Saccharomyces cerevisiae S288C: one gene and its partners. The gene in region 3 interacts genetically with the main gene of each other region. Each region holds a gene or a part of one and is shown on either strand. Other genes may lie near its edges.

Evidence for each region.
Region 1: mutations in STB1 (region 3) and IXR1 together harm fitness more than expected from each alone (negative genetic interaction), as found in Saccharomyces cerevisiae (2 studies listed by BioGRID).
Region 2: mutations in STB1 (region 3) and YHR131C together harm fitness more than expected from each alone (negative genetic interaction), as found in Saccharomyces cerevisiae (2 studies listed by BioGRID).
Region 4: mutations in STB1 (region 3) and HAP4 together harm fitness more than expected from each alone (negative genetic interaction), as found in Saccharomyces cerevisiae (3 studies listed by BioGRID).

What each region holds. Positions count from the first base shown.
Region 1 is NC_001143.9:378,071-386,714, forward strand, and holds IXR1 (DNA-binding transcription repressor IXR1), read right to left. Parts: upstream 3,789-8,644; coding exon 1,995-3,788; downstream 1-1,994. Other genes in the region: TTI1 (Tti1p), read left to right, coding at 1-502; MAE1 (malate dehydrogenase (oxaloacetate-decarboxylating)), read right to left, coding at 4,646-6,655; transcription factor TFIIE subunit TFA1, read left to right, coding at 7,688-8,644. UniProt on the Saccharomyces cerevisiae protein: Binds to platinated DNA and confers sensitivity to the anticancer drug cisplatin. Activate the expression of the COX5B gene.
Region 2 is NC_001140.6:360,467-369,639, forward strand, and holds YHR131C (uncharacterized protein), read right to left. Parts: upstream 7,427-9,173; coding exon 4,874-7,426; downstream 1-4,873. Other genes in the region: YHR127W (uncharacterized protein), read left to right, coding at 447-1,178; FUR1 (uracil phosphoribosyltransferase), read left to right, coding at 1,649-2,299; ARP1 (actin-related protein 1), read right to left, coding at 2,533-3,687; YHR130C (uncharacterized protein), read right to left, coding at 4,499-4,834; ECM14 (putative metallocarboxypeptidase), read right to left, coding at 8,036-9,173.
Region 3 is NC_001146.8:47,250-55,183, reverse strand, and holds STB1 (Stb1p), read right to left. Parts: upstream 2,523-7,934; coding exon 1,260-2,522; downstream 1-1,259. Other genes in the region: KRI1 (Kri1p), read left to right, coding at 1-1,062; ZIM17 (Zim17p), read left to right, coding at 2,753-3,277; putative SCF ubiquitin ligase complex subunit SKP2, read left to right, coding at 3,496-5,787; RFA2 (Rfa2p), read right to left, coding at 5,968-6,782, 6,891-6,897; tetratricopeptide repeat-containing protein EMW1, read left to right, coding at 7,162-7,934. UniProt on the Saccharomyces cerevisiae protein: Involved in the regulation and timing of MBF-dependent transcription in late G1 of the cell cycle.
Region 4 is NC_001143.9:228,713-236,835, reverse strand, and holds HAP4 (transcription factor HAP4), read right to left. Parts: upstream 4,610-8,123; coding exon 2,945-4,609; downstream 1-2,944. Other genes in the region: YKL107W (putative short-chain dehydrogenase/reductase), read right to left, coding at 1-695; SLD2 (Sld2p), read right to left, coding at 1,049-2,410; KTI12 (Kti12p), read left to right, coding at 6,956-7,897; DNA-binding protein ABF1, read right to left, coding at 8,071-8,123.

The DNA of each region.
Region 1 (8,644 bases), on a different chromosome or scaffold from region 3:
AATTCTTATTGTTATGAGGCTTATATTTCCCTTGCTATCAACACAGCATAATCTGTTGATAAGGGAGGTTGCTAGTACATGGGACTCCATCATACAGTGCGTCCTATGCTCTGATTATTCGATCGTTCAGCCCGCATGTTCATGCGTGGAGCAGATGATAAAATATTCTGGTGATTTTGTCGCCAAGAGATTCATTGAACTTTGGCAGAAACTGTGTCAGGATTCTTTTATATTGAAAGAACTGAGGATTGATCCAACGGTGCACAACCATGAGAAAAAATCGATTAGTAAGCATGTCAAATTCCCACCAGTAACTGAAAATGCGCTAGTATCGATGGTACATATGGTGCTAGAAGGGGTCAAAATTACAGAGTATTTAATTTCTGAAGCGGTACTTGAACAAATAATATATTGTTGTATTCAGGTTGTTCCAGTGGAGAAAATATCATCTATGTCATTGATAGTGGGGGATATCGTGTGGAAAATAAGAAATATAAATTAAACTTATGTGGCTAAACATATGCATTTGTATATGGTAATACAGTGGTTTATTATTGCTCACATTGTTCACACCAGTGACTATAGTGATTACAATAAGTAATTAGACAATAAATGTTATGAGTGATCCAGAATGAGGAATGATATGTGACTTCAGAATTAGCAGGGCAGCTAAATTAAAGATCTTTTAATTCAATTTTAGCTTACGATTTATATCTATGAAAGACATGAATTGTCACTTTGGGTAACCAATGATATCGGTGACTGCTATTTATACCTATCTCATATTATATTAAGAAGACCAGCTTTTATTCTCGGTTGGTAGTACCACTTGTCTACTAATCATCAACAATATATTCTAATAAAGTATTATGTACATATATATATATATATTACCAGCTCGGCCAGGCATTGGAAAACAGAAGAAACATTTCTCATGATTGAAATGGATAAACACGTTAATCAACAGGGACTATGTTGCAGGTGAAATATTAGCAATTAATAAGAAGGGCAATACGCATATTACAAATGAAGCGATAGAACAGACAGTGTCCAAGTAATGATAATAACCAATATATGCGAGTATTAGTATTTTCCTAAAAAAAAGCAAGATTATATACACGGAATGGAGGAGCAGTAGCTACTTTAGATTCGGAGTTCCCTTACACTTGGAGAAGTAAGTCTGCTATCCTGAAAATATCCGTTATACTAAGGGCTCCAGTAATAGCGGGCATCTTGACAATCCTAATATCCTTAGGGTGGTGACTAGCACTCACCTTTGTTGGAGTGAAATCGTAATATCATCTATTGACTAGTATTTATGTTATTAGTACACATTATCCCATGCGGCGTCAAAAGATGACATGAAAACTGAGAAACAGTCATAAGACTCAATGGAAGCGCAGAATCTCGGAACTAAACTAGTTGTCCAGGTATTTACACGTTTAACTGGTTTGTCTAGGCAGGGTATCGTTTGATGTAATAAATTTTGTCTGCTTTGTAACGAGTGTTTCTGACATGTTTCAAACATATTTTATGTGTAAGTTGATAAGTCGCCCTTGTGTATCGTACAACTATGCCACTTTAAAATGATCAATTTTACAGATTAATAGGTTTCGTGGTCTAGTCGGTTATGGCATCTGCTTAACACGCAGAACGTCCCCAGTTCGATCCTGGGCGAAATCAATTAATTTTTTTGGCTTCATCACGCTCGTCAGTTGAGCTCGCACAGCATCAGAGGCAAACTTGAATTTGGCTTAAGTATATTACAAAAACAAGAAGGAGGGAAGACTACACACATGCGTATATGTATACAGGCAAATACATATAGACTGAAGTTAGAAAAAGGGAAAGAAAAATTATTATTAAATAAAGTAAAATTTGTAGTAATAGGAAATAGAGTAGTACAATATAAAACAAATGTTGAAAAAGGAATTCCTTATTCTCGTTGTTTGCGTGGGATAATGTTACAGTGGAAAACTAAAGTTGTTTATTTGTTATTCATTTTTTATGATCGAACCATTTGTAGTGGGGTCAGCCAATAACATGTGTTGTTGTTGTTGCTGCTGTTGTTGTTGTTGTTGGAGCGGCTGCTGCTGTAATGAAATCGGAGGAGAAACGGGCGTATTTGGGTTGGTACTGTTACTGTTGCTTCCGGTAACTGAGTCGATGGCATTTGCGGTTATGTGCTCGATACTGTCTTGGTTCTCCATGATTTTAGTGTCCATATTCAAATTCATGTTCATGGCCTTATGTGAGTGACCGGTTGGGTTACCGTTTGGATCATTTTCGTCGGGATAACAACTTTCCCATTCCTTTAATCTTTTCTTGTAAGTTTCAGTGTATTCCGCCTTTTTGGCAGGGTCTAACTCGCGCCATCTTTCACCGATTATCTTGGTAATTTCGATTAAACCTTTATCAGGATTTTCCTTGACGACGGTAGGTCTAATCTCCTGGGTGAACTGAATAAAGGGACCAGAGGGTCTCTTTGGGGGCAAAGTCTTTTCGTAAGCATCTCTCACAACTCTGTACTTCTCCCAGTTGGTTCTGAATTCTTCGTAGAATGGTTTTTTTTGATCATCCGTTAACTCTTTCCACCTTGCAGAAGCCAATTTAGACAATTCGGGGACCTTTGCTTCAGGGAATTGTTGAAGCAACTCATTTCTTATGGACATAGAAAACAGGAAATAAGCGGAAGAAGGTCTCTTTGGGCCTTGCTTTTTCAGTTGTTTTCTTCTCTCAATTCTGCTTTGAGTGGAAGATAATTTCTTCACCACTGGATGCTGTTGTTGCTGCTGTTGCTGTTGTAGATGATGATGTTGTTGTTGAAGTTGTTGTTGTTGTTGCAACTGGTGTTGCTGTTGTAGCTGCTGCTGTTGCTGCAACTGCTGTTGTTGTTGTAATTGCAGCTGTTGCTGCATCTGCTGCTGGTGGTGAGTCAATTGAGGTTGCAGATTGGGTGGTAACAAACCAGGATGAGTAGCGGTGTTGGCATTTCCTGCAGCATTTCCTGCAGAGGAAGGGTCCAAAAGACTAGACAGAGCGTTCATGTTGTTCGGGTAGTATCTCTGCACCTGTGGGAGCTGAGACAAGTACGAAGCCGGGCCAGCAGCATTGTTTGCGGCGGCCGCAGCAGCCGTGGCAGGGTTTAATTGGGAGGCTGCCAGCTGGGCAGGATTACTGCTAGTGCTGTTATTGCCGCTACTAACATTGTTGTTGTTACTGTTGTTGTTACTAGACGCGCCTGTACCCGTGACAGAAGGGTTTGTCTGTTTTTGAGTTAAATGACTTAAAAAGGAGTTGTAAAACTCGGAAAATTGTTGTTGATTGATCGTCGGATAGTTTTGGCCCGATCCGGTTTGTTGCATGTAACCGAAATCCTGAGGTAGCGCGTTAACATTAACATTGTTGTTTGAATTTGAGTTCGAATTAGCATACTGTTGTTGTTGTTGTTGCTGTTGTTGTTGTTGCGACTGCGAAGTAGGTTGCGTCAAAGATTGTGGAGGTAGTGGATAATAAACATTTTGCTGTTGTTGTTGAGGCGACTGCTGGAAGTGACCTTGATAAGGCGCTTGTTGTTGTTGCTGTTGTTGCTGCTGCTGCTGCTGTTGTTGTTGTTGAGGCTGGGCTTGAAACTGGTTCAAGTATTGGTGAGGTGTCTGGTGAGAAGCATCTCTGTACTGGGAGTCGTTGTGTTCGAGACCCTGATACTGCAGCGAATGGTCTTGGCCTATGTTGAGTAAGTTGGAGTTAGAGGCGTCGTCCTGTTTGGGCGAGATACCGGTGTTCATTGCAGTTGTGGGTACTGTTAGCGTCGTACGTATATCACAGAATGGATAGAAGAAGGGGATATAGTTGTGGTCTTGCCTTGACTTGCGTTGCCTTGCCTTGTCTGTGTGTAATAGAGTTCTTTGTGGGATATCAGAGCGAATAAACTTCAGCGTCACAGTCTCGGTAGCAGTAGCTGTTAGGCAGTGACCTAGCAGTAGAGGAAACAGAATACAATGCAGTACGATTACGGTACAGAGGATAACGAAGTAAACCACATTTACAGCGAGAACGAGAGACAGAAGGAGAGAGAGAACGAATGCGCCGGGCCGTGTCTATACTTGGCTCCACCAGCTGATGTGTGCATTTTTTTTTTGTTCCCATTCGTTCTCTCACCAAGGGGAGGTGGAAAAGAAAAGAAGAAAAAGAAAGTAAGGAAGGTCCGCTGCGCCTCTCCTTTGCTGCTGTTGCATCCGGACATCACACCCAACACAAAACCCCGCGCGGCCGTCGTCAGTAACCGTTCCACCCATTCCTCCACGGTATGTAGATCGCTAAGCACGATGTGTATGTTTTATGGATATGTGCCGATTTTTTCCGCATTTGGTATCATATTTTGTTTTGATAATTACCGTTCTTGTTATTGCTAGTTGCTTGGGTTAATGTTCTTGTGCTATTGTTGCTGTTGTTATTGTTTTTATTATTGTATTATTGTATTATTATTATATTATTATTATTATTATTATTATTATTATTATTACGGTATGTCAAGTATTATTTTTTTTTTAAAAATAAAGAAAAAAATTGTACAAATATATATATTTATATATTACTCTATATGGTTTTTTTTTTTTAAGTGCAGGCGTTGGTTATGCTTCGTCTACAATTGGTTGGTGTGCACCGATGGGTCATGTTGGACCTTGATCATAGGTCTGTACACAGGCTCCCACATTTGGGCTTTGACCCACTGTAAACATTCGTCAAAGTCACGAGGAACCTTGACAGTTTCGCCGGGAGCTCCTCCCGGTACTTGTTCTTGCTCGATACGGGCGGTTCCCTCCTCGAGTGCTTGCAAGATCACAGCGGTAGCTAGACGCGCAGAAGTGTTGGTGATGGTGTCCAGGCCGGGTAGCAACCCAGGTCTCGAGTCGCCCTCTCTTAGTGGCGACAATTCGGCTAGTTGGTCCACTGCAGCGGAGATCATCTTGTCTGTGATGGTGGTGGCACGCGATAGTACGGCACCTAAACCGATACCTGGGAAAGAGTAACAATTGTTGTTCTCCGAGATACGGTAACCATCAACAGGTGGGAAAGGAGATCCGGTAGCTACAAGAGCGTTGTTGTTGGTCCACTTCATTAAATCGGCAGGAACGGCTTCGTGTAGTCTAGTAGGGTTGGATAATGGGAAAATGATCGGTCTAGGATTGTGCTTGTGCATTTCTTCTACGACATCTTGAGTGAATGCGCCTGCTTGTGTGGAGCAGCCAACCAAACACGTTGGTTTGACGTTCTCCACCACATCATGTAAAGAGCGGGTGTTGATACCAGCCCATTCCGCATCACTCTTAGCGTATACGTGTTGGGCGGGAGTGGAGTTAGCCTCGTAAGATTGTAGAATTAACCCACGTCTGTCCATCAAGAAGATTTTCTTGCGCGCTTCTTCCTTGTCAACGCCGTGCGTGACCATATGATTCACAATTTGATCTGCGATACCGAGGCCCGCAGACCCGGCACCGTAAATAAGCACTCTGGTGTCTTTCAAGTCTCTGTTGGTATGTTTCAAAGCAGCAATCAACGAGGCCATCACGACGGCACCGGTGCCCTGAATGTCATCGTTGAATGATGGCAATTCGTACCTGTACTTTTCTAGTAATCTTCTAGCGTTCTTAACACCGAAATCTTCGAAATGCAGAACGGCGCTTGGATACACTTTCTTAACGGCCTTGATGAATTTTTCCAAGAAGTCGTCATATTGCTTACCCCTGATTCTGGAGAACTTGTTACCCATGTACAATTCGTCACGGGCTAGTTTCTTGTTGTTAGTACCGACGTCCAAACACACAGGTAGCACACGGCCGGGATGAATACCACCGCACAGCGTCATCAATGCCAATTTGGAGATAGCAATACGTACACCACCGATACCTTGGTCACCAATTCCCAGAATACCTTCCGAATCCGACACAACGATGTAGTCTACATCTTTGTCTCCACCGTATGTAGCCAATCTACATTCGATGGAATCAGGTTCGGTAATGTCTAAAAACACACCTTCTGGCTTTCTGAACCTGTGGGAATAGGCAGCAATAGCATCACCTTCGGTTGGGGTGTAAATGATAGGAACTAATTCCTTGATATGTCTCCTTATTAATGCAAAATATAGGACTTTGTTCTGTACTCTCAAAGACGTCATGAAGTCGTTTTTGGCCAAGGGCGTCTTCAAATAGCATAACTGCTTGTAGCTTCTTTCCAGTTGTTCGTCCAAAGTGTTCACTTGTGGTGGTAGCAATGCTTCTAAATTAAACGCTTCCCTTTCTTCTTGTGTAAATGCAGAACCCTTGTTAAATAAAGGAGAGTTTAAAAGTTGAAAGCTCTCCAAGGGACATTCTATGGCACCTTCTACAGTCAAACGAGTGGCATGTGGGTGAGGAGCTTCGAAGATCTTTCTGGCGCGAGAACCGACGGGTGTTTTAGTGACCTCCTCGTCGCTGTATGGCTTTTGGAAAGTATTTTCTCTTGTTGTGGTAGCTTTATGCGATCTAGTGTTAGAAGAATATAAACGCGATTGCTGAATAGGCCATCTTCTTAATGGTGCTGTCCTTGATGCTGTCAAGGATCTGGTTAGTTGCGATCTAGCAGCAACGGAAACGGATAGTCTGGTTCTAAGCATAACCGTATTTCTACCTTTTGTCTTGGTATTTATGTGCACTAAACTCGTTAAAAGTTGTAGGTTTCAAAAGCACAAATATCCGAAGCTGGACACAATATACGAGTAAGTATAAAGATACGCATATATATATATATATAATATGTCAATCATGCCGGTAACGGGTACGACTTCGAAACTCTATAGCGCTAAAGCTGTAGACCAAAGGAAGTCAAATGGAGCATACGCGGTACAGTAATAGGAAATTGCGAAAATTTTTCACCATAGAAAGGCGATGATGAGTCGAAGCCAAGGGGACTCAGTCACTCAGTCAGCTGATGCGATGCGATGTTAGCGCAAACAATAACGCGTACGATAATAAAACTTCAAATGCGCCAATTCTTTTTTTTTTTTTTTTTTTTTTTTGATTTCTTTTCATATATCCGATTTAAACCGCCTAGGGAAGAGTAAAAACCCGAATTGTTCCGTCTATACTTGGTTGTATGGGTGTTTTTTCTTCGATGCTTTTCGTATAAGAAGATATGCAGTGAATATCTTTCAATCGCCTTGAACGGTTGACAAGACGCAAGAATTTGAAAAACCTTGCAATGCACGATGCAATATTCAATTTGCACACATCGAAACGAATTGGTATCGAAAATAAACGCGAAACATATGAGAAATTTTTCTAACTTTTCTTCCTTCGTTAAGAGTGATCCTTGCACTGTGATGAATCGCTATAATTGTTGTAATGATTGACACTGGGTGAAGGGCAAAGGATGTCCAAATGATAAAAAAACAAAAAAATTTGGAAGTGTAAATTGTACCATGGGCGAATTTCAGGTTACTATTGTAGTCTGGTGAGTTAATACGTAATAATACTTGGTTTTTTTTTTTGGTTTTTTACTAAGCGTTACCGTGTGTAGTGATTATCTAAGCGGTTCTTGCAAGATTAGGAAAAAAGCTAATTAAGTGTAAACTTGGCAGCATGATTGCTCGTCCTAATCGAGCCAAAGATAGAAAACTACTGGAAGCAGCTGCTGCAGTGAGTAGAGTATGGATAGACCTATAGATGATATTGTGAAAAATCTTTTAAAGTTCGTCGTTAGGGGGTTTTATGGTGGCTCCTTTGTACTGGTACTCGATGCTATACTATTTCACTCGGTCCTAGCTGAAGATGACTTGAAACAATTGTTGAGCATAAATAAGACGGAACTGGGGCCGCTAATTGCTAGACTAAGATCAGACAGGTTAATATCCATACACAAACAAAGAGAATACCCTCCAAACTCAAAAAGTGTGGAAAGAGTTTACTACTATGTAAAATATCCTCATGCTATTGACGCAATCAAATGGAAGGTCCATCAAGTCGTACAAAGATTGAAGGATGACTTGGACAAAAATTCAGAACCTAATGGTTACATGTGTCCGATTTGTTTGACCAAGTACACACAATTGGAAGCTGTACAATTATTGAATTTTGATAGGACAGAATTTTTATGTTCCCTATGTGATGAACCGTTGGTGGAAGATGATTCTGGTAAAAAAAACAAAGAGAAGCAAGATAAATTAAATAGGTTAATGGACCAAATTCAGCCAATCATTGATTCTTTGAAAAAGATTGATGATTCAAGAATTGAGGAGAATACTTTCGAAATTGCATTGGCTCGCTTGATACCACCTCAAAATCAATCACATGCAGCATACACGTACAATCCAAAGAAAGGCAGCACCATGTTCAGACCGGGAGATTCTGCTCCATTGCCAAATCTTATGGGTACTGCTCTTGGTAACGACAGTAGTAGACGTGCCGGTGCTAACTCTCAAGCCACATTACACATCAACATTACCACGGCAAGTGATGAAGTGGCTCAAAGGGAATTGCAAGAGAGACAGGCTGAAGAGAAAAGAAAACAAAACGCTGTCCCTGAATGGCATAAACAGAGTACCATCGGTAAAACTGCTCTTGGTAGACTGGATAATGAAGAGGAGTTCGATCCTGTAGTTACTGCA
Region 2 (9,173 bases), on a different chromosome or scaffold from region 3:
GTACGACTGAAACTTTCTTTTTGGATTTTCGAAGAGAGAAAAATTAGTTAGCATAAAAAGAAATATAAAAAAAAAGGAAAGGAAAAGTGTTCGAGACTTTACCATACAAAGAAATATTACGGTAGAAAAAAGAGCTGCACTTACCCAATACATATTGATGAGGTAGTATTCACGGTGAGAACAACTTACATCAACACCTCAGTTTGCCGAATCTGCAGTGATATTGTATCCAAAGTCTACTTTTCATCCTCATTTACTGTCATTACAGAAATTTGTCAGGAAAAGCAACCGGGTAAGGGAACTTTCAGGGCCAACGCGAAAAAAAAAAAGGTCCATCCATAGATTTTTTAGAAGATACACACCGTGAATTGATTAGAGATCATAGTAACCTCAAAATATACAATGTCTTAGATTGGAGCAGGCAGAAATATCTATCAGAGCACAAAATGGCTAGAAATAGAACAACCTCCAAGAAAAATGTTCAAAGTAAACGCTTAATAGACAGAGTGGTTCCCATGGACAAGATTAAAAAAGTTGGCGTAGCGAAAAAAAAAACCGTAGAACACACTAAAGAAGGATTTAGCGTTGTCAACGGTAAGCTAGTAAGCAGCAATGACGTCGGTGTACTGTTAAGAGAAGCACAGGGTGCTATCGATAAAAGAACTAATGTTTCCCAAAGAAATAGGAAAAAGGGAATAAAGAATAATAGGCCCCACAAAGACATAAACAGCAGTCCTGACTGGGGCAATGCCCACAGAGGAACCGATTGGCAGAGCGAAAAAGCAAACGGCATGAACAGGGCCAAGAACTCTCGGAATTTTACCACTAATATTAAATTGCAGCGACAACATTTTGGCGAAGAAATACAAGGTGGCAGCCAGCTTGTGATATCTACAAATTCAGATGCTTCAGATAAATTGTTAATGCTATTCAACCTAACTTTGGGAGTAAACCAAGAAAACTTGAAAAATGTTCTGGAAAACATTTCTCAGGTGCAGATAGCTCAAATTAGGGTTAGAGACCTGCCTTCAGGATCTGCCACCGCTAAGGTCCGTCTGGCATATCCTACAACACAGTCTTTGGAGAAGGTAAGAAAACTGTTCCATGGCGCTCTAGTTGATGGAAGGCGCATCCAAGTGGTGATTGCATCTGATGAATCGTCCCACTTGTCGTATTAGAGTTTGTCAACGACACTCACAAGGTATTTAATCAGCAAAATCCCCGCCACAAACTATTTTTTTGAAGACATGCTTTCTCATGACTGCCTAATAACAATACCTCATTCTACTAGTAATCGACCTATGTAATTATTTCATAAACTATAAAGCAGGTCATTGCAATAACAGAAAGGCCGGTTTTTCTATAAGCTTATCTCATCGCATAAAAAATCGACAGTTGTAATTATCTCCGGCGGACTTTTCCCTTTCCGTCTTTTTTTTCAAAATTTTTTTTTTTTTCACTTCTTCTTTCAAAGCTGCCTCAAAAGAGATATATATATTGGTAAGAATCCTCTTCCAATACTAGCTTCATTTCTTCTTGAACCATGAACCCGTTATTCTTTTTGGCTTCTCCATTCTTGTACCTTACATATCTTATATATTATCCAAACAAAGGGTCTTTCGTTAGCAAACCTAGAAATCTGCAAAAAATGTCTTCGGAACCATTTAAGAACGTCTACTTGCTACCTCAAACAAACCAATTGCTGGGTTTGTACACCATCATCAGAAATAAGAATACAACTAGACCTGATTTCATTTTCTACTCCGATAGAATCATCAGATTGTTGGTTGAAGAAGGTTTGAACCATCTACCTGTGCAAAAGCAAATTGTGGAAACTGACACCAACGAAAACTTCGAAGGTGTCTCATTCATGGGTAAAATCTGTGGTGTTTCCATTGTCAGAGCTGGTGAATCGATGGAGCAAGGATTAAGAGACTGTTGTAGGTCTGTGCGTATCGGTAAAATTTTAATTCAAAGGGACGAGGAGACTGCTTTACCAAAGTTATTCTACGAAAAATTACCAGAGGATATATCTGAAAGGTATGTCTTCCTATTAGACCCAATGCTGGCCACCGGTGGTAGTGCTATCATGGCTACAGAAGTCTTGATTAAGAGAGGTGTTAAGCCAGAGAGAATTTACTTCTTAAACCTAATCTGTAGTAAGGAAGGGATTGAAAAATACCATGCCGCCTTCCCAGAGGTCAGAATTGTTACTGGTGCCCTCGACAGAGGTCTAGATGAAAACAAGTATCTAGTTCCAGGGTTGGGTGACTTTGGTGACAGATACTACTGTGTTTAAATAAATCACACCCGAACACCATCTTGAAGGTTCAGAACGGCTGAAGCCGCATATCAACTTTTGGTTTCTACTGTTTTAAATTTCCTTTCTCGTTTTAAACCTTTGTTGCCGTCTCTTCTACTATCAATTTTGTTGTTCATGCATGTTTAATTACCTTTTTTTGTAAAAATAATATAAACGTATCAATGGCTATTTATAACAAATATGCTTGAAAAATCTAACGACTCTGTTTCTTACATTAGGTTCGAATAAACACGGGTACTGTCCTCTAGCCAATCTGACTTTTTGGTCCAAAGTCTTTGAAAGGTAGATAACCCCGTTAAAATAGAACCACCAATCCATGTAGTATATTTTCTTTCTGAAGGGGCTATAATCTTTATCTTGGATGTTCCTTTGGTTAATGCCTCCAAATCCCATAGCATTCGGTCTCCAAAGCCTTTAAGCGTTGTAGTTCCGCCACTTAGGATTATCGATGACAGTAAAGGTTTCCTTAAATCCAGATCGACTTTCCAAATAGATTGCATGCACATATCAGATAATCCATCGTACCCTAAGCCGATGATTTGAGGTGAAAATAATATTTCTGGAGCACGATATCGATCATTCCCCACCTCTATACACCTCCCGTCGGGCAATTTGAATGTCGAGATTAAATCTTGAGTACCTTGTAAGTATTTCTCCTCTTCCTTTTTAATATTCTTGGCCAAATAACAAACTTTCTCTTTCATCGTGCGAACAATCTCTCGTTCACTGCTGGAAAACAACGAAACACCAGCTGATTTCCGTAGTTGAAATTGTAACTGCTCTGTGATATCTGCTCCTCCAATATCCATCCTCATCATAGACGCAGGTAATGCAAAGCCGTCATATATGGGAACAGTGCTACAGTATCCTTCACCACAGTCAACTACACAACCTGTAGTTCTCCCACTAGCATATAATGACAGAACAGCAGGGTTTGAAACGTACAAAGCCGATACGTCAAAGGTCTCGAACAATACTTGAGCCATCTGCTCTCTATTCTTCAAAGGATTCATCGGGGCTTCCGTAATTAATAAAGGATGCTCACCTATATTTTGCAACTGTAGGACTTCATTTAACACATATGACCATATTAGTTCCATAGAATCCCAATCTTCCACCACGCCGTGCTTTATGGGGTATCGTAATTTTAATAATCCACGCAGTTTTTGGGCATTGTTTCCAATAAATGTATCTCCTTGCAGACCTTCGAGCATAACTTTATCATATTTGGTATTTCCTACGAGACAATATTCCAGTGCTTTAGGCCTTTCCTCACCACTAAATCCTGCTTTTATGATCCCAGAACCATTGTCGATCACTACCGGTTGATTGTACAAAGCATAGCTGTCACTTAGCTGGTCCATTGGCTAACTTTCTTTCTAATTCCTCAATTCGTGGTATAGCATTAGCATGTACTCCTTGGTCTATGCCCTTTTATTAATTTGCTGTTTTATTGGGAATATCTGCTATTTGCTTCGCTATTATTCAATAAAGGTGTTTATCATTATTGATGTGCATCGCGAAAATGGCCACTTTGGAAATGAACTTTTTCTTGAAAAGATTAATACAAACGGAAAAAGAGAAGGCAATAGGAAACTCACCGTCACACAGGTGTACTGTGTCCTTTGCTTTGAGCTCTTGTTCAGAACATTATGCTACTTAGCATTCTTTTATGAGCTTTTTTCTGTAGTCTTATTATAGGTTGATGAAAGCGTTACCTTCAAGAAATGATTTTTAACGTGGTATAATAAACACTGTTTATCATGGTAAAACAGGTATTTCTTTTATTCTTTGGAATTACCAGACGATACCCATTCAAAATTCAACTTCTAATCAAACGTTGATCAATAAATACTGTATTATGTTGCTTGTTTGAAATTAGAGGCATTGCCTTTGTTAAATTGAAATATAAACTGGAAAAATGAAGCGAAAATAAAGTACTGTCTATAAACAAAAACCTTAAAATGATTAATGTTAACCTTTCTGAGCAACGAAGCAATCCATACGTATTGAAAGCTTTAGCTCTTGGAGTACGGTGTCGAGAAATCGAAGTAAGACCTAGTAGAAAATCATTAGTTTGTATAGACTAGTCAATGACAAAGTAATAGTTGAAAACAATACTGTCTTAGTTCGCAACCATTTATATATATTTAAACTTATTTTTTACAGCCCTTGCTAATTCCTGATGCCAAGTAACGAGGGGCAAATCATCTGAGTATATACGTACATATACATCAATGATGCCAATCGGAAATGCTTTAACATTTCTGAAGAATTCTTTAAAAGGTTACTATTTTTACTCAATTCGAGAAAATGCAAAATATAATTACCCACTTTTATGTAAACATCGGTGTCAAAATCGTGAAATATACCGAATGATAATGTTGAAAAGAAACTCAAGTGCAAAAGAAAAAACACGATCCAAAGTGTATAGAATGAAATAAAAAAGAAATAGAAAAACTCCTCATCATGTAGCATATATCCGATGATAATATATATACTTTTAGTCATGATATTAATTCTGCAAAAACAAGATTACTGCATCACAGCTTATGCAGTAATCTGTCCATCATCATCGTCATCGTCGTCGTCATCATCATCATCATCATCATCGTCGTCGTCTTCGTCGTCGTCATCATCATCATCATCGTCGTCGTCGTCATCATCATCCTCACCATCATCACCGTCACCGTCGTCCTCCCCATGATCTTCAGCGTCCTTTGTTGTTCCAACAATTGCATTCTTATTTTTACAATTAAGTTCTATCAACGCCGTAGGTCCCACGATGAAGCCTTTTAAAAAATGATTCTTCTGCTTCTGTAAGCTCTGGCGGTTGCTAAAGTGAATTTTATTACTTGTTTCAAAGGTTGGTCCCGAAACTGGAATATAGATAACCTTACCCAAACAGTCGTTACTATCTAGAAATGGTTTGATGCACTTCAGAGAATCCCTCAAATAACGCCTTCTTGAAATTTCCTTAATAGCTGGTTTCCATTTAATATCATCCGTTCCGTAAGGTATATTGGAGAAGCAACTTAGAGTAGAAGATGCTCGCCTTCGATTTCTTATTCGTTCTTCAATTAAACATGAATAATCACTTTCACTGCCATAAGCATAACCAATATTACTGTCATCAGTATCATCATTAGTATCATCGCCAGCATATTCATCGGTTTCACCGTCATTTTCGTCCTCATCGGTCTCAGTAGCGCTTTCATCGTCATTGATTTCAGCGTCACGGTTTGTGAGACATAACGACCTACTGCTTTGGGATAAATCTGTGGCGGATTCCCCATTAGGAGCTAATCCTGATAGGTATATCGAAGAGCTTTGAGGTTTAGGTCTAATAGATGCCTCATCCCTTTCATTGGCTACCAAATTCGACGCAACACTCCGTAATTCCTCTTTCATAACCGCATTTTGTGATTGCAGCATAATCTCGCAGCCATCAACGGAAAGATGCTCAATAGGAGAGGGTGAATGAACTGATTCACCCACTGTGCTATTTGGAAATTTGATGGGGACAACCTCCTCGCTAATTGCACGCCTCAATGACTGTCTTTGGGGCATGGAAATAGCTCTATTTCTGTGCATTGGACGCTCTACTTTAATGGTGGTATTTACTGGAACACCAGGCTCTGGATGATCTCCCCCGCTTGATTCATGGTGTTCATCATCTTCTTCCGTTTCAATAACACTATTTAAGTTACTTGAGTTGGACCTGAGTCTGTGAAGCTTTTCTGTGCGTGAAGAATTTTTAGGCCTGAAAAAGTTCTTAATTTTAAATTTTAAACTTCTAGATGCAATCGAACGGGAAGCTGAGCAACCAGATAATGACCTTGTTGATCCCAGGGTACTGTTATCACTGGATTCTCCTGATGCAGCCGAAGATATCAATGCCTCTGTAGGCGTCTTTGAGAGGCCAGTGCAGTAATGATCTAGTAGACCAGCTGTGAAAGTATTCGAGCGTTCCCTGATAGTTGTATTGTTATTAGTGCTAGACCCGGTACTATATCTTTGGATTAAGTCCGGTCTGGAATTCGAACGAATGAATCTCTGCGAAAAAGACCCCATCGAACTCTCACTTCTATGAGTGTGTCTTCTTCTCCTCCTTCTCCTCCTTCTCCTTCTCCTTCTTCTGGGAACAATTCGATAATCTGGATACTCCCTGACTTCCAAGTCCAAAGACACAGATATCCCGATTGATAGGTACATAGACCAGTCAATCATATCATCTATATGAGAGAACCGTAATAAAAACTGTTCGCTTTCACAAGACATTCTTAACACAAAACTCTTCTTGGTATAATCCGTTGGTATCCCAAATCTTGCATTTTGTAAAGTGAAAGACTTGTAAAGAGCTTCATCGGTTAAATACCGCGATCGATCACGTTTCACTCTATAAGAGATCCGTTCTTGATCTGCTTTTTTAAACTCCGAAGCTGATCTCGTCGGTAGAGTGAAGAGACGGTGATGCAGATGTTGTGATTGATCACTGCGATGGACCAAGTCACTATGAATTCTATCCTCTTTTTCAGATTTTGTTTCCCCGCTTGAATAATTCCTAATGTGTTTCGTCAAAGATTCGTCAATATGGTAAAAATTTAGTTGAGTCGAATTAATTTCAATGATGAAATTCCTCCAGCTCCTGTTACTAGAAATTTCATAAGGTGAAAGCCTTTCCAATTTTAAGGATATCAACGTCAATTCATATACTGCAGGTGCATACAAAGGAGGGAGAGAAGACTTTGGGCATGGTGCCGTGTCACCAAATATAGGAAAGCGGACCTCTTTATTGGGATTTACTAGATCATAGCTCGGTGGATAAGCAGGGAGGGGATCTATATGCTCGTAAAGATCTTGCTTGATGAAGAGAGCAGCGTGAGAAGAGGACGAAGCTGCAGTTTCCTTGATAATATTTATCTGACCAGAAACACCTTCCCGAGGAAGTTGACGCATGGTCTCTAAACATATAGAGCTGCTGTTATTGCTTGAAGTAATGAGAACCTCGTCCATTGAGCATGTTGATGAAGACGAGGGTGATTTTAACCTTTCGATCCTATTATTTGCCATGGATAATTTGCCCTCTATTGGCAGAGCCATCCTTAACAAACGAACAACTTGTATGCACGATGTCGGATCAAAAATATACTGTGGCCCCAAGAAACAACGATTTCTTTTGTGCTGGTCAACAAAATTGTAATCTTTTCGGTGGACCCTATTATGAAACTTTTCTCTTTTTTTTTTTTCTTACTGTAAGACAGTTAGATGCACCCACCTCACTGAAGCTTGATGATTACGACTAAATTAAAAACGCGGATATACAACTAAGGACTTACAATGTTGATCTCCTGAGTATTGTTAATGTCCAAAATGACCGAACAACAGCGGATAACGATATATATCCTTCTTGCAATTATAAAGAATCGTAAGATAACTCCGTCAACGATGATGTGGAAATTATGACCCTCTTGGAGGCTTAATCACTAAAAAGGAGATGAAGCCTTCAAGTCACATCAAAATAATCGAAGCCAACACCAAAGAATTTTACAGATTGGTTCTGCTCATGTTAGGGGGTGTATGAGCAGATAATCCAAGTTAAAATAATTTTTTGGAGAATATAGAAGAAAATATATAAGGTTTTGCTTTTTCTAGATTTTATATAGGATAGGGTATTACTAACTTGTAATATAATGTATACCGTGGTATCCATTATATCTCTGGGTCTAGTAGGAAGTCACAAAAGTACTTTAAAGCAGCATAAGTTTCCTTTCCAACTGGCTTGATGTTTTCTGGAGGCAATAAAAATCCATGGTTCCCTGTATCCCGTAATTTCAACTGGAATGCCCAATGTGCTCTGTGGTGGTACATGAAGTCCAACGCAGAACCTGCACCGAGGCCGGGGAATATGTCGGAACCACGGTCCTTACATGCGGAGATTACGTCGTAGTTTCTACCTGATTTTGAACGGATGGCCTTGGATAAGCCATATGATAACTCCAACAAATTTTCTAAGTCTCTGGGCAAGGCATCACACGAGTATGCGTAGGGATATAAAATCTCCTGTGAATACGAATGCATGTCAATGTAGCCATAAATTTTGTAATCGCCCTTGGTTTCATTAATATACTTGTACCAAGCAGATGCTTCCCAAGCTTCGAAGGGCGTTTCCCCACTATACTCTTCGCTGCAAGCGTGGGTGTGTGCCTTTTCCCACTGGAAACCAAAGGAATGATCAATGTCGATACCAAGACATTGAGGAACATGAGTCCTTTGACGATTCTTACGCCATAGTCTGTCATGCGACCACGTATATGCGTATCCGTCTGGATTGAACACAGGTATGACTAAAAAGTCCAAATCGTCCAGGTATTTGGTTTCCTTCTTAGACGAACCATATCGATTTAACAACTGATAAAGTGCCCAACAGACGGTACTGACACTGATCCACTCTCTGGCATGTATACCACCTGTGATAACAATAGTCTTCTTTTCCGGGTTTGATTCTGGCTTGTTTCCGGATATATGCAGAGCTTTTAGCTCTCTGCCTTCAAATGTCCTGCCCAAGTGTTCCACTGCAACCAAACTGGGAAAGCTTCTTTCTAGAAGATCCAACCACATATAAATAGTATCCAGGTCCCTGTATTCGTTAAAGAAGAAATCGTAATCATTTTCAAAAACAGCCTGCTCACGTGCCATCATCTGACTTGTAGGCAATGTATTTTGTATCAATTCATTCATGTTATCTATGATCACCTGCCCATCATTTATCTGCTCACCTATTTCTTTAGGCAACTTAATATCAATGAAATTATTGCTTCTCGTCCATACATCATAATCATCTGTCAGC
Region 3 (7,934 bases):
GACCTCAACAATAATGAAGAGGACGATGAAGAATTTGAAGATGCTGCAGAAAAATTTGAGAATGCCTACAATTTTAGGTACGAGGACCCAAACGCAGCTGAAATTATATCTTATGCACGTAGTCAAGCTACACTAAGAAGATCCGATGACTCTTCACGCAGAAGAAAAAGAGAGGAAAAAAGAAAAATTAAAGAGCAAATAAAAGCAGAGAAGGAGACAGCTCTTCAGAAAAAGAAGACTAAAAAATTGAATAAATTGACTGACATTTTAGAGCAACTAACAAAGGAATATGGTGCTGAAATTAATGCCGACATGGTGAAAAAAATCACTGACACCCTATTGAAGAACGATTTCAAAGAAGAAGAGTGGGATAACGTGGTAGCTGAATTATTTAATGAAGAATTTTATCAACAAGAGGGAAAGCCTACCTGGAACGAGGATGACGAAATAATGGGTGACTTTTATGCAGACGCCGATGGTGATGACCAAACAGAAGAAGGTGAAGTGGAAAAAGAACAAAAAGAAGAAGACGAGGAAGAAGGTCCAAAAAGAAAGAAGAGCAAGAAAGAAGAGAAACTGCAAAAGAAGAAAGAAAAGAGAAAGGTAAATGAATTAGTGGAAAATGCTTTGGAACAAAACAAACTAGCACTAATAGAGGAGGTTGAAAAAGAAGAAGAAGAAAGAAAGAGTAGAAGCCGTACAAAAGAGGAGCAAGATTTGAAGTTTCGTTACCGTGAAGTTTCTCCTGAGAGTTTCGGTTTGACCGCAAGAGAGATTTTCGCCGCCGATGATACTGATTTAAATGAATTTATTGGTTTGAAGAAATTTGCACCTTATCGTTCCAAGGAACTAAGAGCGAAGGATAAAAGGAAAGTGATGAAGGCAAGAAGATTAAGAGAGTGGAGGAAGAAAACTTTTAAGAACGAAAATGGGTTAGCTCCAGTCGAAGCAGAGGCAGGGGAGAAGGATGAGGACACCATACTGATACCTGTAGAGAAAGCCTCTAAAAGCAAACACAAGAGGGGGCACAGTCATAAACATAAAGGCCACCAGAAAAAGTAAACTAGGTGAAATATCGGCCCTGTATATTACGATACATAAGCTTACATAGTGATAATCTATCTCCGAATTTCCCTAAAAAAGAATGTCATTTTACGTATTAATATGTAATTTTATAATTTCAACATTTGTCATTTTTGTCCCTTTGAGTGGTCCATTTCAGGAAGTATGGAATCATCAACTGATATGGCCGTCAACGATCAATCAGTGAGTTTGTCATCAATGGACTCCCCTTCGCCTATACGGTCGGTGCCGGGTCCTACAATGAGCGGGATCCCGTTTGCGTTCATATCTAGAAAATTGTTTGTGGTGTGGCTTGATATAGCAGCTGTTGCTATCGCAGAAGTGTTGGAAGATGATCCGGGCACCATCGCTGGAACAGAAGGAATTGAAGCTGACGTGTTTGACGCTCCCTGCTGGGCGGGGACCCTTGGTGAAGGGCTGAAAAGATTATGCAGATAGTCTCCCATGTTGAAGTTGGGCGTCCTGAGTAAGTTAAAATTGGTACCGTTCAATTCTCTTGAAGGCGTGGTAGGTACGTTACTAGGTGGATGCAATGTGTTTGTGGTGGGCTTTCTTCTCTGCTGTGGCGATAGTGTCGCCTGGACACTACCGTTATTATTGCTCAAGTATAGTGATGGAGAATCCATGAGAGATTCGTCCGGAAAATTCGGTAACAGATTAGATTTGAAAGTGGACTGCGGAGAAGACGCTGAAGGTTTGATATGAGAGAATCTTACTGCATCGTTTGATGTGCTTGCTGTATTACCGTTCAAACTCAATTGCGACGCGTAATGATAAGAGCGTGGAGTAGTGGGCATCCTTACGGCCATCGGTGTTCCATGATGTGATGACTTATTATATGGACTTGTGGCTAAATACATTAAGAGATCAGCGCCCGCAGTGTTGTCGCTGTCCTGTGGAGCATCCTTAGAGCCTGCTGCCTTCTTCTTGATATTATTATTGTTATTGCTATGGTTACTGCTGTTGTTATTATTACGTTTTGGCGTCATGAAATTCTTATCATGGGGGCGCTGGTAGTGTGACGAAGCGTGTGGTAAGATTATAGGTGTAGCAGAAGCCCTCGGAGTAGATGGAGTGTCCTCCTTCCTAGGCTTGATCTGCTGTGAGCGGTCTTCGGCTTTTCGTTGGCGTGAACTTGGGGGAGTATTTGGCTTCTCTACAAATTTTACGGGCGATATAACAGTCATTTTATTTGTATCATCGTGGAGAGGCTTTTTCGCAGGCGATATGGCTTCCAAAAGAGTTTTGTGGTCCTCATCAACATCTTCGGCATCCTCTCCGCTTCTTTTCTTTGTTGTAGAGTCCTGTTTTCGTTTTGTTGATGGGACATTACTTAAACCAAGCTTTAATTGACGCGTCATCTGAGCCAACTCAGCTCTATGCAAAATCTTGGAGGCCAATTCTTGCTCTTTTTCAGGGGACATCTGGGGTTGAGACATTTCTTGTATGCACAATGGGAACACTGATTGAAAATAGTAACGCTCTACGTACTCCTTCTTTCGATGATATTTTTGGTTCCTTCTGCACTTCATAATTGTAATTTTTTTTTCTTGCATTTTCGCGTGATATCAAAATTATGAGAGGAAAGGTGAAAGAGCGTCATGTTGGCTTCAAGGGATCAGCGATACTAAAGCAGCACCGGTGCAACTGGAATATCAAGAGACTGAACATGATTCCGAGGACTAGAACACTACTGCAAAGTAAAATACCAATTACCAGGTACTTTGCCAGATGTTGGGCGCCTCGCGTACGCTACAACGTGTGCCGTACTCTACCCGCAGCAGCGTTGCATACCAATATCATCGCACATAATGAAGTGAAAAAGGACGATAAGAAGGTTCATTTGGGGTCTTTTAAGGTAGACAAGCCTAAGATGATGATAGCTTTCACCTGCAAGAAATGTAACACCCGATCTTCACACACAATGTCCAAGCAGGCGTACGAGAAAGGTACTGTCTTGATCTCTTGTCCGCACTGCAAAGTGAGACATTTGATAGCAGACCATCTGAAAATATTCCATGATCATCATGTTACCGTGGAACAGTTAATGAAAGCTAACGGAGAACAAGTTAGCCAAGACGTGGGCGACTTGGAGTTTGAAGACATCCCAGATTCGCTAAAGGACGTCCTGGGAAAATATGCCAAGAACAACTCAGAAAATGCATCCCAGCTCCCTCACCCTTCCCAGAAATGAATGAAGAGCTCATGCACAGGCATGTACATAGATAGATATATAACCGTTAAATAGCACGTTTTTCCAGAGACTGAGTCATGATTACTGCCAAAAACCCGCACATCACATATTTTTTTGCGATAACCAGCAGAAGATTTAGGACTAGAGTACATAAAGATGAGCCACTGCTAGATATGAAAAGTTGAACCGCATTTTCAAACGTTCAAACCAACCGAATCATGAAACGGTTGCAATTGTTTGGTAGATCAAAATATTTCTCGCTGGTCTCCAGTGCTGCGAAGGAGGAAGAAGAAGAGGAAGAGGGCTGTGCTGATGCCAAAAGCCTTCTACATAGTACGAGCCATGATATCAAATCGAGATCACTACGCTTCAACGATAAATCGTCCCTCATGTGTTTGCCAACAAAAGTTCTACTGTTAATACTGCGAACTTTGGACTTCAATACATTAGTAACACTATGCCAAGTCAATTCGAGGTTCTACAATTTGATTACGAATGAGTTCCTTTTCCAAAACGTTATTTTGGACTCAAAACTTTCGTTGTTAAAGTTCAATGCTTTGATACACTCCGAGTTCCACACGTCGAACATTGTCACACACAGCGGTGATTGTAGCACACAATCTAGATCACAAAATGCAAGGTTCCTCGTAAGATCCATCGAATTCAAAAATCCTCAGTCCCAAGACTCGTTGTTAAAATACAGTAAGTTCTATAATAAGAGTGGCCAAGATTCTATTATTGCTGGATCTTATAAACTCGATTCGTATGATAAAGACGTAAAAAAACTGAATAACATCAGACTAAACGATGAGACTCCCATCATAACTTCAGAACGAATCAAACTGCTTGATAAATTGGAAAGCAACTACTTCCATTATACTTATATTGAGCTAATGCTTGATATTATAGACTATCTACCGAACCTGACCAGAGTGATTCTGAGTGATGTGGAACCGAATTTTAAAATTCCTTTATGGTACTCTGTATTCAACGATGGATCTAGAGATTTTTTCAAGAAAATAATCAAGGGCCAGCAATCCATCACAAACGAAGATTTGAGGACTTTCCAACTATCCAAAAAATTTGTCAAAGAATACGAATCCAAGTATTATTCTCTGCCAAGGTTGAAAATACTGGAAATCAAAGCTAATAATAAAAGACAAAGAACCTTTAATCGTCAACGCCATCACCAAAAGCTCGTACTAAGACCGAGTTTATTCTGCTGTTTCGGCATAATTAATGAACTTAAACTAGAAAATGTAACGATAGACACCGAATCGCTAGATACTCCAATGGAATTCTTACCACTATTTCTAAAGAACGAAGATAATGAACTGTACAGTTTACAGTCTCCTATCACTGCACTTACTTTAGATTCATGTGATGTAGTTCCTGGAAATGGAATATTACGTTTGTTTCACTCTTACTTTAAAATGGTCAAACATCTATCCTTACTGAAGATTAACAGTAAATTCGACTTATTGTTATGCAGTTGTTTCCCATCGTTATCCAATCTAACAATTGATTGTAATAGCAAATGTTTCACTAACGAACAGGTAGTCGGCGAATCATATTATTTCCAACAGCGAAGTTTGGATACAGAAGATGATTTTGATGACTGCAATTCCATGACAGAAACATTATTTGAAGCGCCATCAGATTCGAAGATAATTACTCCTCCGCCGACATCTTCAGTTGTATTGTCCTTAAATCTGAACTATATTTCTAGAACTACAGGAAATGATGTTTCAAATAACCCATCACCAGACAATAACAAAAAGCCCGCCATGTTAACTGCGGCACAGCTACAAAATTTTCAACGACAAAGAATCCCTGAATTTCATTCTTTCTACCATTATTACCGCTTACTTTGGGAGAGACTTCCAAGTAAAAATATTTCTATTAACGTAATCAATATCCCCTTTACCAATGTGTATCCTTTATCCCCTCTATCGTTTTGGGAACATCTAGCAAGAACAATTACTAGTGTTGATGAGACAGATGAGGATGTTGGCGACGAGAACGATCAAGAAACATTAATCGGTTACGAAAATAATTCCATAAGAGATAACATACCAAATGCTAATGCAGTTCCAAATTTAAGTACAGTAATGAGCCCTGAATCAGACATTCACCACACTTACTATTGGAACAACTCTGTAAGGCGTTGCCTAAGAGATAGTTTAATCAAATTGAAGAACCGAACCATCGAATATAGAGATTTAGATGTGGAGGAGTTCTTACAAAATGTGACATTGGAAAATTTTTTCAATGATTTCCAAGATCCAGAGAATTTTAAAGATATTCCAAATATTAACCTCTGGTGTTTCCTGAGAAATTTGTCAAAATTCAAAGCTGTCAAAATAAGAATGCTGAGACATTTTTCATTATGTACACCTAGAACCAGATACGACTGGGAACTATTATTGAAGCCCGTACTGCGTGTAAATGTTCCCATTGAAGTCAGAGATAAGGACGGATTCGTTCTTTATTCTTACGGGCAAAAATAAATGACTTTTTGTAGTGGACTTTATATAGCATATTTATGCAACCAACTTAATATTCATGCATCTTACCCCTTCTTGGAACGGGTTCCATTTTCCACTCTATTTCCGGCAAATTTTGGTACTTACCTAGTAGAAATACACAAACGAATACTAAGAAATGCTAAAAAAATAATCTATATATTTTCATAGGGCAAAGAAGTTATTGTCATCAAAAGTTGGGTAGATAAAACCCTGGTCAGTCAAGGTCGTACAGCAGTTTCTGACGGTAGTTTCATCCAAATTCAAGGATTGCGAGATCAATGGAATGGGAACAGCGAATGAATTAGCGTCTTTGCCCTCACATTGCTTCTTACAAAATTCTAGAATTCTTTGTAACGGACTGGAGCCGGAAGATGTATCGTTATCATCCTTGACAAATAATGATTGCCCATTGTTGTTGGATGCACTCTCCAAAGGTTGTTTCATCATTCCACTGGCTATGGAATGACATTTGATGACTTCCAAGTGATGCGTCAACACTTCATTGAATGAATCTATGGGCTTAATCACCGCATACTGTATATTTTTCTTACCACCAAACTCTTTCAAAGCACCAAAAACTTTTACGTAACCGCCAATTTCAAATTGTTGGGCGACTTGCGAACCATAACCTTTACCAGAAGAGTCATCGTTACCGGCAGCCAAGTCATTTGCATCTTCGCTCCATTTTCTCACTTCTATTTGACCAGTTCCATCCTCAATAGTTAAAAAAATATTTGCAGTATGGTCTGTAATGTTTCTCACCACACCTACAAAACAAACGTGATGAAGTTCTTGGTTATGCGAAACGAAGGGGCCGTCCTGAATATCCTGTTTGGACTCTAGAATTTGTTTGATCGTCACAGGTGTCAAGGTGTTAACTCTAGTGTTAGTTTCCGACTCCCCACTACCTGGGCGGGACTCAGAGTTCTCAAAGCCACCGCCCGTTACTGATGAATATTCGTTATATGGTTGATAGGCTGTATTGGAATCCCATCCATTGTTAGTAATTTTAACATTCGCCAATAAAAATAAAAAAAATGATGCAGAAAAGAGCAAATCCTCCAATTCCTAGCACTAATACATACTTGCCATTATGTATATGCTTAAACTAGCCTGTTCTAGATAGTCGCTATCGATTTTGCCACATTACTTCCACCTTAAGTTGATATAATATTGCTTATTATAAAGGAAAGAACGCGTTTCCTAACGCGTTTCGTATATGGCGATAATTATCTAAGAAACTTCGCATCGTGAAAAAAAAGATGAAAATTGAAAATGGAAGCTCATCGAGGCCAAAGGAATTGCTAAAAAGAAGCTATCAGACCAGGCAAAAAGTAAACTAGTGGTTGCAAAATTATGGAGACGTTATTGCATGCAAAATTATTGCTGTCTGCAGAAGTAGAATCTCTGAAAAGTGGTTCTTTCGACCAGACATATGTGAAAAAGGCTGAACATATCATCAGTGGTGAATCATACCAGCTAGTACAGCAATTTGTGGACAAATTTAAGGGAAAAATTAGTATTTCGGGAGAAATATCCACATCTAGTGTTATTGCTGCTCTAAATGACTTTCTTAACGTTGAGGTTTTCAAAATGGGCCAAGAAAATGAGATGCTATTTTTGGCTATTGCCCTCTTACAGACCTTTATTCAAAATAACTACACCGGCCCAGCAGCTAGGTTGAAAGCAATCTCAGGTTTGTTTGGCAAAACTGGAATTGAAATAGGAGCAGTTAATACAGCCCTTTCCCGCTCATTAGCCATTATGGGCCAGCCTGCCTACGAATTTATGGATGATCCATTGTATTTGGTTTTATCACTATTATTACTTGAAAGGATAACCGGCCAAAAAAGCTTATTTGATGTTACCCCGGATCAAGAAATTCCGCTACCTATTATCTCTGCTGAGTCTACTCCTGGATTATTAGCTGTAGCTTATTGGTGGTGGGCAAGAGCTCTTTTGACGCAATTGTCACTGATTCCAGAACCTTCTGGGTTCCAAGCTAGTGTTGCATCTGCAATATATCAGTCTGCTGACCTTGCATATGCGATAACTAAGGAATTACCGGAGAGTATTCACGAAGATTTCAAAAGAGAACTTTGTGCAATGTACTATCTAGAGAATGTCAA
Region 4 (8,123 bases), on a different chromosome or scaffold from region 3:
CATTCTGTAATGCGGCTGAGGTAGGTGTCACTGCCAAGAAGATTATTACGAATGTTCGTTTTGATCAGCCCAGGGTTCAAACCGAAAGTATCTATATTCGTGTATCTGTCTTTAGCGTCTATGACCAGACTTTCATTGGCTGCCACAGTGTTCATATGTGTAGCGTAGGCACTATACTTCTTTTCATCAGAATTCAAGTCATCTGGGTCTCCCACCTGACCATTTCCTGGAAACCCTGCTATGAAAACTTTTGGCAAATCGTCTTTTTTTGTCCTACTAATTCCTAATCGCTTCGCCACATCATGGAAGATAATGTATCTACTCAAATAGCTCACTGCCATGTCTTTTTCCAAACCCTCACTTGTAGCTTGTCTCTGGCGTGATGCAAAAATACCCGTAGTGAAAATCAGATGTGTTAACTCCTCGTAGGGAATTTCATCACTATGAGATATACGCTTGCATTCTGACACTAAACTTAAATCAGCCTTGACAAAGTTAATTTTATCTTTTAGGTCCTCGTCCCTAAAAGTTTGCCCGACAACAGTAACCCTGGCATTTCTTTGGGCCAGCTCTCTACTTATTGCACGTCCAAGTCCACCTGTGCCACCAATTATGGCCACATTAAAACGACTAAAATCAATGTCATTGATATTTTTTCTTTCCCAACTGACGGTGGGATCCTTTTTCCAGAACATCCTGCTAAATGCGCCAATATACTATTATTAGTTTTTCCTTGATACGTGGTAATATTCTGTTTGTTGGTTCACCTTTTCATTCACTTGAATTGTTTTAAATTTTGTATTTATACCTCTGCCGATTATTCCTCCCCTAATTGATGATTGCAGATTATGTAATATATATACATATATGGACGAGGCCCCTAATTGAACAACAAAAATAAAAAGTGTAAAAACATGCTAGTCTCTATATTGATAAAAATACGTATGATGTCCATATAAACTATACGTCATGCAGCTGAAGGAATCTAACTGAATACTTAATAGGTTTCTATAAATTACAAATGTTTGTATTATTTACGCCATCACGCTCACCTTCTTCCCCATCGTCCATTAGAGAATCGGTTTTTCTTTGGCAGTTTTAGTCTTCTGAAGTTATTGCTCACTAGATTATACTTCTTTCTACCCTTTCGCTTAGCCGTAGGCTTTTGCTCTGAGCTTACAACGCCGCTGCTTGCCTCCGGATCATGTTCAAATTCAGTATCAGAGATTTGTGAGGTGGATCCCAAAAATTCTGCCACTTTCCTTCTTTTGAGTTTCACCAGCTCCTTATGGACATCTCTCTCAAAACCTGCGGTCTCGGTTTCTGGATCATTGTCTCGTAATCTTCTGATAACCTTTCTTCTTTTGGGTCTCTTTCTTATGAAGGTATCTTCCCTTGCTTGGCTATCATCATTATCATCATCCTCTTGAAATATGTCCTTCACAACTTTTGGTCTAATTAGTTCATCTTCTAGCCCAAAGTCGTCTTCGTGGTTTTTCTCATCGTAACCATTCTCGCCTTCTTCTCCTTCCTCTTCCTCTTCAATATCTTCTTCCTGTAAGACACCAAATTCTTTTACAATTTCAGTATGTTCCCTGGCCAATTCTATCAGGGATTTCGTCAGTGGTCTTCTAATGAGTGGAGACGGACTAAATGAAGTTGAAATATCCGCTTGATCCTTTGAGGGAGTCTTCTGTAAAGATGGATATGCTATTTGAAGCCGGCGTTTAGTGCTTGAATTAAGTGAGATGTTTAGGTGAATGTTTTCTTCATCCAATTTTAGCGGGGAATTAGGTCCATAATACCCCGATGGTTTGCCAGATTCTAGTGGAGGATTAATAGTTGGACTACATTTCTTGATTTCTACCAACTTCCCATTGCGATTCTTGCATGGTGATGAAGTCGGAGTACGTGTAGAAGAAGCGTTTAGCATTTGAAAGTTTAATTGGCGTTTCACACTGGATATTGGTTCCGCCACTAACGTACGATCTGCAGGCGACGATTTTAGGAGAATAGTTTTTCGTGGAGAAGATTCATTAGAAATTGTCTTGGAGTTATCATTGTTAACATCAATATTATTTGTGAATGTCATGTATATAGGCTTTATAGGCGACAAATTCATGTCAAAGATACTAATCGCCTTACCGTAAACTTGGGGAGTAGGGCCTATCTCTACGACTTCGTCGTGGTCTTTTTTATGTGCCGGGAGTTCAACCGACTCTTGAGTGTCAACTTTTTGTCGTTGCAAAGATTGTTTCTTCTTCAGTGTGGAATATTGTTTATACATCTGCCGAACAGTCCGCAGGCTCTTGATGTCATCCCTTGTGGGTTCCCTTTTATTTTTATCAATGAAATCATGCTCCCATGTTTTCAGCTCAATTTTCAATTTGTCCAGTTCAAATGAGTACATCGAACTACAGTTATCGCCTCACTAGATAGATTTCCCTGTCCTGTGGAGCCTGATGTAAATCAAAATTTGATTTTATCATTTTTCTCTTGACGTGTTTCACCATACGCGTAAACGTGATGTGATATACGGAAGATATGTAAAAAGGAAGCAAAAAAAAAAAAAATGAAAGTAAACGGATATGTGAAAATGCTCTTAGGTAATTTGAATATAGTGTATGTATGAGAATAAATAACTAAGTACCAGAAACGGTATATAAATAAAAAAAAAATAATGGCCTTCCAGACCCATATTTGTTTTTCATTTTAACTTTTTTTTTATGATAAAGAAAGAAAAAAAAAATCATTAACATCATTAAAAAACAATCAAAGTTTTGTTTTTTTACTTTTTTTTTTTGGAATTTTTGTTGTTGAAGGAAAAGGACGCCTAAGCAGGCGAAGAATACTATCATTACCCATAATAAGAATTTTTTATTGTATAATATCATTTTGTTTTCGTGATTTTTAGTTGTTTTCGTTTTATTGCAACATGCCTATTTCAAAATACTTGTACCTTTAAAAAATCGACATCTTCGTCAAGGTCGTCGATGAAACTGCTTTGATCAAGTTCATTGGTGGCAGTTGCATCATTGTTGTTATCGTTTAAGTCATAAAGGTTAGCGTTCGACTTCGACGTAGAAATTTTTTTGGATTTCAGAACTTTGGTGTAGTCGTCATCAGTACCGGCACTACCGTCAATACCGGTATCGTTGGAAAACATGAAATTTTTAAAAGATCTGCCATTGTTACAGTCCTGCTCTTCCATCAACTCTTCTAGAGTTGGGGGCAAATAAGAAAACTTATTGTCAGCCAAAGTGATTTCTGAACCTAACTCGTCATGGTGATGCGAATCAGCGCTTTCATCCTGATCCTGAAGAAACAGATAGGTTTCATCGTTCTTTGCTTGGATGTTCGCCTTCTCAGAATTAGTATTTTTTTTCAAAGCACGTGATGAATCTTCTTGTTGTGAACTTGAACTTGGTAAATAATTCCAAATGTCTTCTTCATCTGGCTCAACCTTATCATCTTGCCCTGAAGATACGGTTTCCTCCAAAATTGGCAGATTCAATAAAGACATATTATCGTCATTGTCCACTTGTTGGTAATTGCCACTGTTCTTACCTGTTGTATCGTCCATAGACTGTAAGTAAGAATTCCAGAGATCATTATTTTCGTTAACGTCGTTATTCGTGTTGACTTTGGCATACTTATTGAAAAACTCAAGTTTCTCGAAATCGTTAAAGAATTTAATCTCGTTCAAATCCTCAATTTTGTCCTTAACTTGCAAATTAGTAGGCAAGGAGTGGTTTCTAATCAACGAGACTGAATCTGCTGGAGAGAAATCTGCTGGAGAATCAGGGAATGAAGCCTTATGAGGGATCTTATGAAAATTTAGGTTCATGTTCAAATCTTTTGTCAACTGTGGGACCGGAGTGGCCGATGAAGATGTGGAAGATAAGGACAATAAATCAAAGTCGTTCAACTTTGATTTTTTCGTGGGTGGTGCGTGAACATTTGAAGAAGAATCTATATGATGGTTTTTTGTTAGCAGACTGTTGTGAGCAGCAATGGTTTCCACATCGGTGCAGCTTTCATCGTCCATGAATTCTGATTTTTTTCTATTTCTATAACTTGAAAAAGATGGAGATGAATAAGATGGAGATGAAATGGAGGAGGCAGAAGAATGAAACTTTTCATTTTCCAAGTCATCGAACTTCAAAAATGCGAGGTAATTCGAGTCGTTTATTAGCTTTTCATCGATTGTCTGGATATGTCTTGGTATTTTCCTCTTTTCTTTGGAAGCTTGTTTCCTATTCGAAATGATGTTATTATTATTATTATTATTACTACTGTTCCTGCTGTTAGGGCCAACATTTAAAATATTATTGGTGTTGTTGGCAGGTAGAGTGTTGTGAGAAGATGATCTTCTACCAGGTCTTGGTCTTGGGGGCAAAACCCAATGTTTTGAAGTTCTAACCACCAAGCTAGACTTCTTCTTCTTTTTACTGCCATCGTTTTCGAATTCCAGCGAACTATTGTTATGATGGTTGGTATTTGGGGCGATCGGTACAGGCGCCAATGGAATATTATTATGCTCATTTTTAAAATGGTTACTACGAGGGCGACTAGCGGAGGCCTGTAGTAGAAAAGTCTTTGCGGTCATGATTCTTTTTTTGTTTTTTTTTTGTACTAGAAAATGTAGGTAAAACAAATCAGCAACCCATTAAAATGCTCTTTGATGTACTAGGAGACCAATAAATATGTGTGGAAAAAAAATAAAACTGTGTTTTTTCTCTTCCTATGCGTTTGATAATGATCTGCTCAAATAAATAATGACCCTTTTTTATTTTTCTGGTTCCTTTATAGTAGTATTTTTATATTATTAAGTGTAAAGTGGACCTGTAGATAGCATATACGATATAAAACTGGGGTTTAGAGAGGTGAAGGAATTAATAAAGGTAAAAAAATTAAAAGGAAAAAGGAGATGGACCTAAACAACCACACGGGGTTAAGCAAGAAGAAATTGATATAGGAGATTAGTTAATAGCTTTACAATATATATAATTTATCTAAAAACGATCTCATACTCAATAAATTTTTTTAGAGTAGTCTCGGAAAGAAAATAGCAATCCATTTACTTTTAGAACAATCTGCAAAATCGATACATGACACTTGGAAGCAACTGTGAAAAGGCTACGGCCATTGCTTACCGCGTGCAAGATCCGTAACATAAGAAAACTTTAGTCCTTGATGAAAGAAAATTTTCGTTTTTTTTTTCAGGTTCAGCGGGCTTAACCTCGTTTGCCGCCTCGGCCCCGCTCCGTTGTGCTGGCCATCTGTGCGCGGCGGGCTTCCCCCCCGTCGCTACTTCCGGATTAAACTTTTAGACTTCGGACCCCTGCCCCGGGGGGTTTCTCTGAACGCCGGGGTAGTGGTCCAAAGCCCACGAAACGCGTGTTCCTCTCAGCGGCATTGGAGTGAATAAAGCCCGCAGGACAGCCTTTTTTTTCCGGGCTGCACGACCGAATCAACTTGTCGCTCTATTCCTCCGTTGTTCCCGATTTGTAGCTCGGGGCCGACTCGCTTTTTGGCCAAGAAAATTGAGGAAAGCCCGTATTGCGGAGAAGGTTCTTATGTATTTGCCGTGCGATCAACCTCCGGGGCCCGGGTTTCAAATTCCGGCAATCATCCATGCCTAGTTTTGGAAATTCTCAGCAGAGGTTATCCCGTAAGGTGAAAAAAAGACATAAACGGTTTTTGCCTACAGTTTCCGGCAAAATAGTGATCTCATAGTACATCACTACTGCGAAGTCACCGGCCCGTACAGAAAAAGTATATCTTTAAATAGCGGCCCTACCTCTGCTTCTACCTACTTCATATTCGAATTCTTTTCTCGCCTTCCGCAGTGTTTCGCAAATCTGGACCTACGCACTAAATCATTTATGATTGTTCTCTCTTTCACGTGATAAGGTTTGCATTCTATTCGTTACCCTATTAATTATTACTATTTTTTTCAGCATGAGTTTTATTTCGCACATAAAATGCATCTATTTCTGGATATTACTGTAGTTTTCTTTGCTTTTCGCCTACCGCGCGGCGAAAAGTCGTATCAATCAATATGTGCCACTGCTATCATCCCTTGATAGAGTACAACGTAAAAGAGGCATTGTAGCATATTCACCCCGCTTGATAACTAGATTTTTTAGGCAAGAGTTGCGCACAGCGTACTGTGCACTACGGTATACAGAATTACACAATTGATACTTATTCTCTCCTTCATTGTTGCTCTGTTTCCGTTGTTTAAACTTTATCCAAAAACTCTGTTTTCTGTTTATTGAACCCCTTGCTTTCGCAAGCAAGCCCGACATATACGAACAGAACTGGGGAGAGGGAGTCTTATGCTGTACAACTCATGTAACCCCCACTATCTCAGGAGTTATATTAAATCAAGGCACGCCAGTGCTGCCTCTCTTGGTACGACAAACAAGTTTTTCCCGATTCTAGGTATTGCATTACATAATATCAACCCTTTGTTGTTTTCTTTTGATTTTTGAAAAGAAATATCTCATACCAACCGGAAAGGAAAAAGGACACAATTTGGGAAAATAGGCAATTTATTATGTACACAAGTCATAACCAAGAAAAAAGTAAGGGTAAAACAAGCAATTACTGAACTTGTTTCATGAGACTCATATCCAGAAGCATATTTATATAAGGAAATATTAGTTGCAAATCATTATGTCATTCCTTTCGCACACCCGATATGCTAAAAACAGCATACATGCACACTGCGCTTGGCTTGGACATATTCTCTCTGCATATGATGGAAAAAAAATCTTTTTTTTTCTTTTTCTTTGACTTTTTGCCGTTTTGTCATCGTCATCGCGATGGAAAAAGAAATGAAGAATACTTGATGAACAGGTGAAACTTGAACAATAACGTATCAGAATGAGGGTAAAGGGACCTTGTAAAACTTTTGAAAAAACTAAACAGGCAATTTAGTAAGAAGATGCCACTGGTGCTTTTTACGGGATACCCATGTAGTGGTAAGACAACGCTTGCTAAACATTTGGTACAACTACTACAGTCCAAGATCGATGCAACCCCATCATTAAGTAAATATTCCATAACCTATCATTCAGATGAATCTTTAGGCATAAAACATTCAGATTATATAACTTCCCAAGATGAAAGAAAATTGAGGTCGGAGATCATCTCCGCAGTGAAAAGAGATCTATCTAAAAACAAGATAGTCATTGTAGACTCGTTGAATTATATCAAGGGTTTCCGGTATCAACTTCACTGCGAGGTGAAAAATTTGTCCACCACATTTTGTGTAATTCAAACACTGTGTCCACCAGAGACTATATTCGAGTGGAATAAGACTTCAAACCCGAACCCTTGGGAACCCGAGTTATTGAATCAATTGATTCAACGATACGAAGAGCCTAACTCAAGCAACCGATGGGACTCTCCACTCTTTGCTATTCTTACTCCTCAGGACAACATAACTGACTACATCGACGATATTTGTAAAGTAGTCTTTCAAACTTCCAAATCGGCTAAAAACAGTGGACACAATGATCCGTTGAGTAAGGGCTTACAAAAACCGAACTCAGCCACGGTACTAAAGCCTGCGTCTCAGTCCAATTTCATCCAGGTTCTCGACATCGAAACTAGTAAGATAATAAAAACCATAATGAACCACATCAAAAGCCTGACTTCTATTGGCGGGGTAAGTAACGGAACAAGAGTCATTGTTTCCGAAGGGATTACCGATATCAATGATGATGGTTGCTTCTTCGTAGACTTGCCCATTGGTAACGTCGTTACGTTGGCGCAATTGCAGAGATTGAAAAGGCAATTCATTAACTTCAACAAACTAAGAGATATAGATCAAGATAGGATCGGTCCGCTTTTCGCTGATTATCTTAACAAAAACTTGAATTGAGATATACATGTGATTAATATCAGAAGGTAAATGGCAAGACGAAATTTGCTTGTTTATAATACAAAAAAACATACATAAGATATAATATATATTTCAATAGAAAAGAAAAAGTATAGAAAAGTGAATAAACAAAAGAAACATGAGAAAAATAGCTCGTCTTCTCAACTGGGTATCTATTGACCTCTTAATTCTGGTTGAATGTTTTCATCAGAAAGGTCTTCTTCAT